Linked DNA regions of Nothobranchius furzeri. The protein of the gene in region 2 binds, or shares a complex with, the protein of the main gene of each other region. Links are inferred from orthologs where the notes say so. Each region holds a gene or a part of one and is shown on either strand. Other genes may lie near its edges.

What was found.
Region 1: vps39 (region 2) and vps41 share a complex: the UniProt entries of both Homo sapiens proteins name them as parts of the homotypic fusion and vacuole protein sorting (HOPS) complex. The link is inferred for Nothobranchius furzeri from reciprocal best matches to the Homo sapiens genes VPS39 and VPS41.

The regions. Positions count from the first base shown.
Region 1 is NC_091747.1:46,098,441-46,101,756, forward strand, and holds the end of vps41 (vacuolar protein sorting-associated protein 41 homolog), read left to right. Parts: intron 1-159; coding exon 160-287; intron 288-360; coding exon 361-505; intron 506-580; coding exon 581-622; intron 623-697; coding exon 698-748; intron 749-831; coding exon 832-969; intron 970-1,054; coding exon 1,055-1,109; intron 1,110-1,189; coding exon 1,190-1,330; intron 1,331-1,399; coding exon 1,400-1,536; intron 1,537-1,786; coding exon 1,787-1,886; intron 1,887-1,968; coding exon 1,969-2,013; intron 2,014-2,102; coding exon 2,103-2,182; intron 2,183-2,281; coding exon 2,282-2,362; 3' UTR 2,363-2,580; downstream 2,581-3,316. UniProt on the Homo sapiens protein: Plays a role in vesicle-mediated protein trafficking to lysosomal compartments including the endocytic membrane transport and autophagic pathways. Acts as a component of the HOPS endosomal tethering complex.
Region 2 is NC_091758.1:17,013,363-17,017,976, forward strand, and holds the start of vps39 (vam6/Vps39-like protein), read right to left. Parts: upstream 2,984-4,614; 5' UTR 2,894-2,983; intron 2,767-2,893; exon of another isoform or gene 2,626-2,766; 5' UTR 2,549-2,625; coding exon 2,476-2,548; intron 2,405-2,475; coding exon 2,339-2,404; intron 2,259-2,338; coding exon 2,194-2,258; intron 1,993-2,193; coding exon 1,950-1,992; intron 1,791-1,949; coding exon 1,696-1,790; intron 1-1,695. UniProt on the Homo sapiens protein: Regulator of TGF-beta/activin signaling, inhibiting SMAD3- and activating SMAD2-dependent transcription.

The DNA.
Region 1 (3,316 bases), on a different chromosome or scaffold from region 2:
AATTCTAAAGATGTAAGAGAAGTTTTCTGGTTGGGAGACAAAATGAAATGGAAAAACGATTAGATCTAGATGGCTGAAAACCAGCTACTAACGTGTGTACCTACTATAGAAATGCACTCATTGCTCTTTAATCTTATTCCTTTTCTTATTTTCCTGAAGGGCTTTGCCACGCTGATCCGGGAGTGGCCTGGAGAACTTTACAACAACATGGCCATCGTTCAGGCCGTCACTGACCACCTGAAGAAGGATCCGACCAACAGCACGCTGCTCACCACGCTGGCTGAGCTGTGAGTCGCCTCAGCGCTCGCTTTCATCTAAGCTTCTTGTTAAGTTGCTGAACAGGACTTGATGCTTTCTCAGGTACACGTACGACCAGCGCTACGACAGAGCTTTAGAGATCTACCTGAGACTGAGACACAAAGATGTCTACCAGCTGATCCACAAGCACAACCTGTTCTCCTCCATAGAGGACAAGATCGTCCTCCTGATGGACTTTGATAAGGAGGTAACAAACCAACCTATTTATTATTTAGTCCATCTAAAGACCATTTATGTAATTAAATGTGTACGTTTTCATTAGAAAGCTGTTGACATGCTTCTCGACAATGAAGACAAGATTTCTGTGAGTAAATTTGACAGTTTTGAATGTCCTGGTAAGAACTTTGCTGCTAGCTGATGTCCATGGCTCTCCCGACAGATGGACAGGGTGGTGGAGGAGCTACATGGTCGACCTGAGTTGCTGCATGTGGTGAGTTTTCTGTAACTTGGATGTTTTAGGGGTTCATTTGAATTCATTGGTGCAGCGTGATGGCTAAGCCGTTTCTCTCCTAGTATCTCCATAAACTGTTCAAGAGGGACCACCACAAAGGACAGAAGTACCATGAGAAGCAGATCGGCCTGTACGCCGAATACGACCGGCCAAACCTTCTGCCTTTTCTGAGAGACAGCACTCACTGCCCTCTTGAAAAGGTACTGTGTGTTCCTGCCACCAGAATTACAAACAAATTAAGCTTCTGTCATTTCTTCTTACTTGAACTTTGTCGTTTTCATCCAGGCTCTTGAGATTTGTCAGCAGAGGAACTTTGTGGAAGAGACGGTCTTCCTGCTAAGTAAACATTTAGAAACAAACGCATCTGTTAAGGGAAACGTGAGAAACAAATGCAATTTTTTTTTCTCGTTCGTCTTTCAGGCAGGATGGGAAACTGTAGACGAGCCCTGCAGATGATCATGGAGGAGCTGGAGGACGTGGACAAAGCCATCGAGTTCGCTAAAGAGCAGGATGACGCAGAGCTGTGGGAGGACCTCATCTCGTACTCGATCGACAAGCCGCGTAAGACGTCACTTGACTCTGAACTTTTATCTCATTGTCTTTAACTCACTCCACCCTCACTAAACCCAGCGTTCATCACGGGCCTCCTGAATAATATCGGCACGCATGTTGATCCGATTCTGCTCATCTATCGGATCAAGGAGGGCATGGAGATCCCGAATCTCAGGGACTCGCTGGTGAAAATCCTCCATGACTACAACCTGCAGGTCAGGTGGCTTCTCTCAAAGAAAAACTCTATTTATTTAAATGTCTGCAGGTTGCAGACTGATTCTTTGGTGGCTTAAAGATTACATGACACACCAGGAGCTTCCTTCATGTAAAAACTTGTTATTAATCCATTAAGTTCTGCTTTTTGAAGAGTTATAACAGGTTTAACAGGTAATTTAATTGGTTTATATGGCATGAAATCTTCTGACTCACTTGCTTAATTACGCGCTTTTATTTCTCGACTTGTAGATTCTTTTAAGGGAAGGGTGTAAGAAGATCCTGGTGGCCGACTCCCTCTCCTTGCTCCAGAAGATGCATCGAACCCAGATGAGAGGAGTCCGGGTCGATGGTGGGAGCAGATTCTATTGCTAGTTTGTGTTGAACCAGTGCAGATGAACCCCTAAATGTGTTGATTCTGTTCATTCTTTCAGAGGGGAACATTTGTGAGTCGTGTCATGGTACTATATTACCATCAGGTGGGTTGATAATGTCATTGATCCCTGTGTTTTTTTTTTGTTTTTTTTTTTATGTTTACTGTATTAACAGCTTCATGTGTGTGTTTCAGACATGGCCCAGCCTTTCAGTGTGGTGGTGTTTCACTGCAGACACATGTTTCACAAGGAGTGTTTGCCGTCTTCAGGAATAGTAAGTCTGCATTCAAACACCTCTTTCCCAACTCTGGTGTTATTTTATCAGAAAACCTCAGGAACATCCTCCACTTTGTTCCCATTTTTACTTTTCCAGATTCCTGGAGTGCAGTTCTGTAACATTTGCAGTGCGAAGAGGCGAGGACCTGGAAGTGGAATACTCGAAATGAAAAAGTGACACTTTAATGCCCTCATGTTGTTGTTATTGATGCTTTTTGTCTCCTTTTTTCCCTCGTCGGTACGCTGATGAACAGGAATCTTTTTTCCTCAGTTGATGAACTGTACTCTCACCAAAATACAGAACTGTTACCCTTTATTTGTTTGCTAACTGTAAAGTGCCGTGTTTTGTCCAGATCACCTTGAATGTGATGAAGAATAAAATCACATAAACTCTGACTGTGTTGTTGATGCTTTATGTCATCCAAAATGCTTCTTAGGTTGAGAGTATCATAAATCATCAAAATGAGTTGCTGAGTGCATCACGGGAGTTTGATGCTCTCTACGGCCAATGCAAGAGCTACAGCTTCATTTTCTGTACAAATTTAAGTTCATTACTGGTTTGCGTCGATTCATCCAGGGTGTATCCTGTTTGTCTGGCATTCATGAACAAGATCTCATCTTGTAGTCGCAGAGATCTCATCTGTGCTTTATTGCACATCCTTATATAATTCAATTATTTGGGTGTCTAGTTGACAAGTGAGGACTGGATGGAGCAAAAGATGGGCCGGTGGATTGGGGCTTTGCAGTTGTAGCCGGTGCTTCATAACTTGTTCTTGTTGAAAGAATAAAAGGACGAAAATGCTCTTGATTTATTGGTTCATCTACATTCCCACCCTCACTGGTTTGGATAACCAAAAGTAAAAGATCCCAAATAAAAGCAGCTAAAATGAGCTTCTTTGGAGAAAAGATGAAGAGCTCCATCATCCAGGGGAGTTCCCATACATTTTTTGTCAGTATTTTAGGATTTATGGGTCTAAAGCAAGCCGTTTCAAAAAGTACCTGTCTGTAATGTCACAAATGGGAAAATTAGAATAGAACCACCTCACACATGTAAGCGAGAGCTGATGCTAGAGGAGCAGCTACTCTATTCCGAGCCCCTACCGAACATCGGAGCTTCTCAGCTTATAGCAGT
Region 2 (4,614 bases):
GATCCATCGGTGCATCCCTAGTAAAAACCTCTGCAAACCGCCACCACATACGTTTGCTTTCAATTTTCTGCTATAATGTTAAAAAAAATGCTGTTTTTAGACAATAAATGTTCAAAATGAGCTTTGGGAATGTCACCATTTAACAAAGACAAGTAAGTGGTCTGACCTCTAACGAGGGAGGGTTTTCTGCCTGCTTCCAGCTTTTCTCAGTTACCATTTAATATGATTTCATTTCATTCCTTTGTAAATGCTGACTGTGTTTTAGCGTTTAGAATCAATAATATTCACCTTATTCTAATAAAAAGGCAAACATTGATGCACGTTTTTGACGTTTATTCATAATCAGAGGTTAAGCATGTTGATTAGCTTCAGAACGTAACTAGCTAGCGATGCTCCGTCAACAGTTAAACATTTTAAAGGCTGAAAATTGGACATTTTGAAACATTTTCCCCTTAAGGCTGGGAATATACTTGATTTTTAACCTCTCAATGATGCAGGCAGCAGGCGGCTGCTGTACTGCACGCAGTACTGGAGGATTCCACTAGGGGGCAAAGTAAGGCGCCACAATAAATGGCGAAAGTTTTGTCATCGTAATGTCGGCATGCTCAATATGCATATCACAAAGAACAGAAATAAACACAACGAATGTTCAGCTGAATGCACATAATGTATTTTTTCAATCAAACAGAAACATGAAGTTTATGACAAAGCACCCATTTGGCCAATCGGGTGGGTTCTTATAGGTTAGATGCGATATTTCAGCGTTTCGATACTGTATTCACATTTAAAATCACTGTATTGATTTTTTATTAAGACTGTTGGTGGCAGTAGTCTTTACTACCTTCATTCTAACAGAACGAGATTTAGCGATAACGCTGGATGAATTGCAATACATCTGCAGTGGTCTCTTGTACACATGAATGCCACGTGAGTCAATCTCTGCAGAAAAAAACTCTGGCCCTCATGTTTCAGGAACTAGAATGAGCCTGAGCAGAGGTGTGCAGAAGACGGCAGGATCTGGAGTCCTATTTCCTGATATTCAAACAGCTCGCCTCTGATTGGATAACAGCAACACGACCCTACCACTGACTCAGTTTGATCTGGAAAGTTGTTGTTTTAGCTCTACAAATACCACCAGCCTGAAGGGGTTCTGCCGTGTTGTGGAGTTGCTAATGCTAACAGTTAGCTTCTATTTGCCGAAACGCGCTTTGCTCTCTCCTGGATGCTAAATCAACAACAGCCTTCCCGTTAAGAGCCAAGATGGGTGAGTCCGTGAATGCTAATTTTACAATGTGACGCACAACTGACTGGCTCCTCTAGTCCAGACATTTCCCCATCGATTTTCTACGAGCAGCTAATGCAAGAAATGAAAGCAGAAGACCATTTTTTTCTGTTTAGCCTGCATGTGAAACACAGAGTAACCAAACATATCTCGAAAACGGTTTCTCAGTGAACTTGGTCTTTAAAATCTGATGTGAAGACGGTCAAAACCTGGATTATATGAAAACTGTTTGATATCATAAGTGGTTTCTGTTGGGCTTCGTTATTCTTCTGATATTCTGACCAGAATGTGTCGCACACATCATAAAGCAGAATATGCTCCCCTTAAACACATCCACAAGAGAGAAAATGTTTAGGGGGTGTTTGTTTTTGTTTCCTGCCACAAGCAGAAGCGTTGTGGTGACAGTAACTCACCTGCAGGTCACACTCAAACAGAGTGGCTCCTTTGGCTTTATTCACCACAGTGATCTGCTGAAAAGTCAGGAGGTCGTGGACATGGATGTTGTTCTCTGAAACAAAGGAGATTCTTGGATATGATTCATGATAGAATAAATAAATCACACACTGCATGTATCAAAACACAACTTTGAAATAAAAGATCCCAGAGAGGATTTGGTGATTAACTTTAAATCCAAATGTAAAAATGTACAATCGTAGTTAAAACTCACCAAGAAGGCTGACCAGAATTTTGTACTGTGAGACGACATAAAGCTGGAGAAAAAGTTAGGACACTAAATTGAAATGGTGCAGCAATTTGGTGCAAATTTACAGTCAAACGTTTATCTTGAGAGCAAAAACAAATTATGATTTTTCTATTTATAAAAAAGTTTGATACAATATGTTTACTATCCAAACAGGAAGTACATGTAAAGGCAACTTTACTCTTCAACATCATCACAAATCCTGTCCTACCTGCTGAATCTTCTTTGAAAAGTTCTTGTTGGACTTTTCTAAAGTCACTTCAAACCGGTTGGAGCCTGATGAGATATTAAGGAATTGTTTAAAGCTGGTTAGAGAGGACCGGAATGTCCGTCTGTACGCCCTGGGCTCTTCCTACCTGCATCCTTCTTTATTCTGTAGAGGAGGAGATGTCCTGGCTTAGTGCCGACCAGCAGCCAGTCCTCTGAGGAGACAAACACAGTCAGGAGCTCCAGTGGACTAACACATCTGCTCAACCACAGGTGTTAGACTCACCCCAGCCAGCGAGGCAGTCGATCTGAAGAGGAAGCTTTTCTAAAATAGGCACCGACTCATAGGCGTCGTGCATCTTGAAGCCACTCTTGTGGATTCAATTACCAACAGATCATTCACAACCTTTCCCCCCCAACGATCACTTCGGAGTGTCTGTGTTAAATAAATAATGTTGTAAAACTGCTCTGGAGTATCCTGTCTCGTCGCATTTGTGGTGTTATACAGTTGGGCTCGTCAAGACAGCTTCCTCCAACCAAAACAACAGCTGATCGTTACTGTTAGCTTAAAGTTAGCAGCGAACGGACACCGTTCTGACACTAAATCAGCGCTGAAGCAGACATTCTCTTATCGATACGATCTAACATGAGTGCAGCTGGCTCGTTAGCCTAATTATTAACAAATAACAACAATAACACTTTACTTTTAGTCAGATTGTTGTTGCTTTGTCGCCACTTCCTCAGATGCGTGGACAGCGCGTGCGCAGAATGGTGGTCTTTGACAGTAACGTGACCTGCGTGGTCACGAGTAAGGTCTTAAAGGTGCAACACTGAAATTTGTTACTGCGGTTAAACTGCGCAGCGCAGTTTTCACCGAAATAAACAATAAAGTACAGTTTAAACAATAATTTTGTTCTGAAAGATTTGTAGATTTCAACATTATGACAAATATGAGTGTTGAGAAGCTAGTTAAATAAAGCTATAAAAGCTACAATCATGGTTCAAGCTTTATTTCCTAAAGGTGTGGTTGACTGAAAAAACACTTTTTAAATGTTATTTGTGATTTAACATGGTCACTCTGAGTTTTCCATGCAGGCTGAACATGAAAACAGTCTTCTATCCACTTATCTGAGACATGTTCTCATGTAACGCAAGAGATGGGCTATCTCGCAATAGCTAATGCTAGGATTTGAAAACACTCACATATCTATGTCCCACTGTAAATTTGCATTCATGGCCTCACCCATCTTGACTCACATGTGCCCACAGGGAGGCTTTAAAAAATTGCAGCAAGGAGAGGGTGGGGTGTCTTGAAGATAGTGACTGCAACATGGCTGAACTTGTTCAGTTCAATTCAAAAATACTTTATTAATCCCAGAGAGAAATTGATTGCTGCTCAGAATAATAATAATAATCAAGTCATCAAAGAGTTATTGTATATCACAATGGCTGTTGGCAGGAAGGATCTCCAGTAGCGGTCAGTGTTGCAGCGAAACTGAAGAAGCCTCTGACTGAAGACACTCTTCCGTTGTCGGACAGTCTTGTGAAGAGAATGCTCAGGGTTGTCCATAATTTTCTTGATTCTCTGGAGAATCCTTCTTTGCATTATCTCCTCCAGCGGTTCCGAAACTGCCGAAACTCTGGCTGAGTCCTTGACAGGGCTTGGAGTTCCTCCATCTTGTTGGCCAGTGATCTCACATTGCCCATTATGATCGATGTAAGCAGAGGCGGTTTTACCAGTAGGCATAGGTCGGCGGCCGCCTGGGGCCCTCTTGTGTTGGGGGGCCCCCTAGCCCTGACCGCCAGCACCCCTCTGTTAATGCCGCAATATTCTTATTACCAACCTGTCACCGCAGACGGGATTGGACATGCTTCCCATTACCACAATTCCTAAACCGTTAAAGATATCATTAAAATTCCAAAAGTGCTGAAAAGATTAAAAATGAGGCTTTTCGTGCATATATGTCACAGAGTGGTAATGTTGCACTTACGTTATATTTTATATTGCATGTTTTACTTGTTTTTATTCTGATGTGCATGTTTTATTGATGGTGTGTTTTGTTGTTTGGTGTGTTAATCATCCCAATCGTCTTCACCTGCGGCGGAGTGTTGCCTGGACTGCAAATTAATGAACAGACGCAGGCAATACAGATTTTATTTAAAGGGAGGAACGCATGTACCAGGGGGACACAGAGAGAGAGAGCCAGGATGGCAGACAGAGCCAGCTAGGAGTAAGACACGCACCCCGGACGGTGTCTTGAGGACACATGTGCCTGAACCCCCCGCCGGAACGGAGGAGCACCCAGAGTACAGTTCTGGATGATGGATGGCGGCCAGGTTTTTGCTTTTTTCACTTTTAAGCAGATTTTTTAAAGGCTTTAATAGAAATAAATTCTAAATACAAACCATACACTGAAAGCTGAGG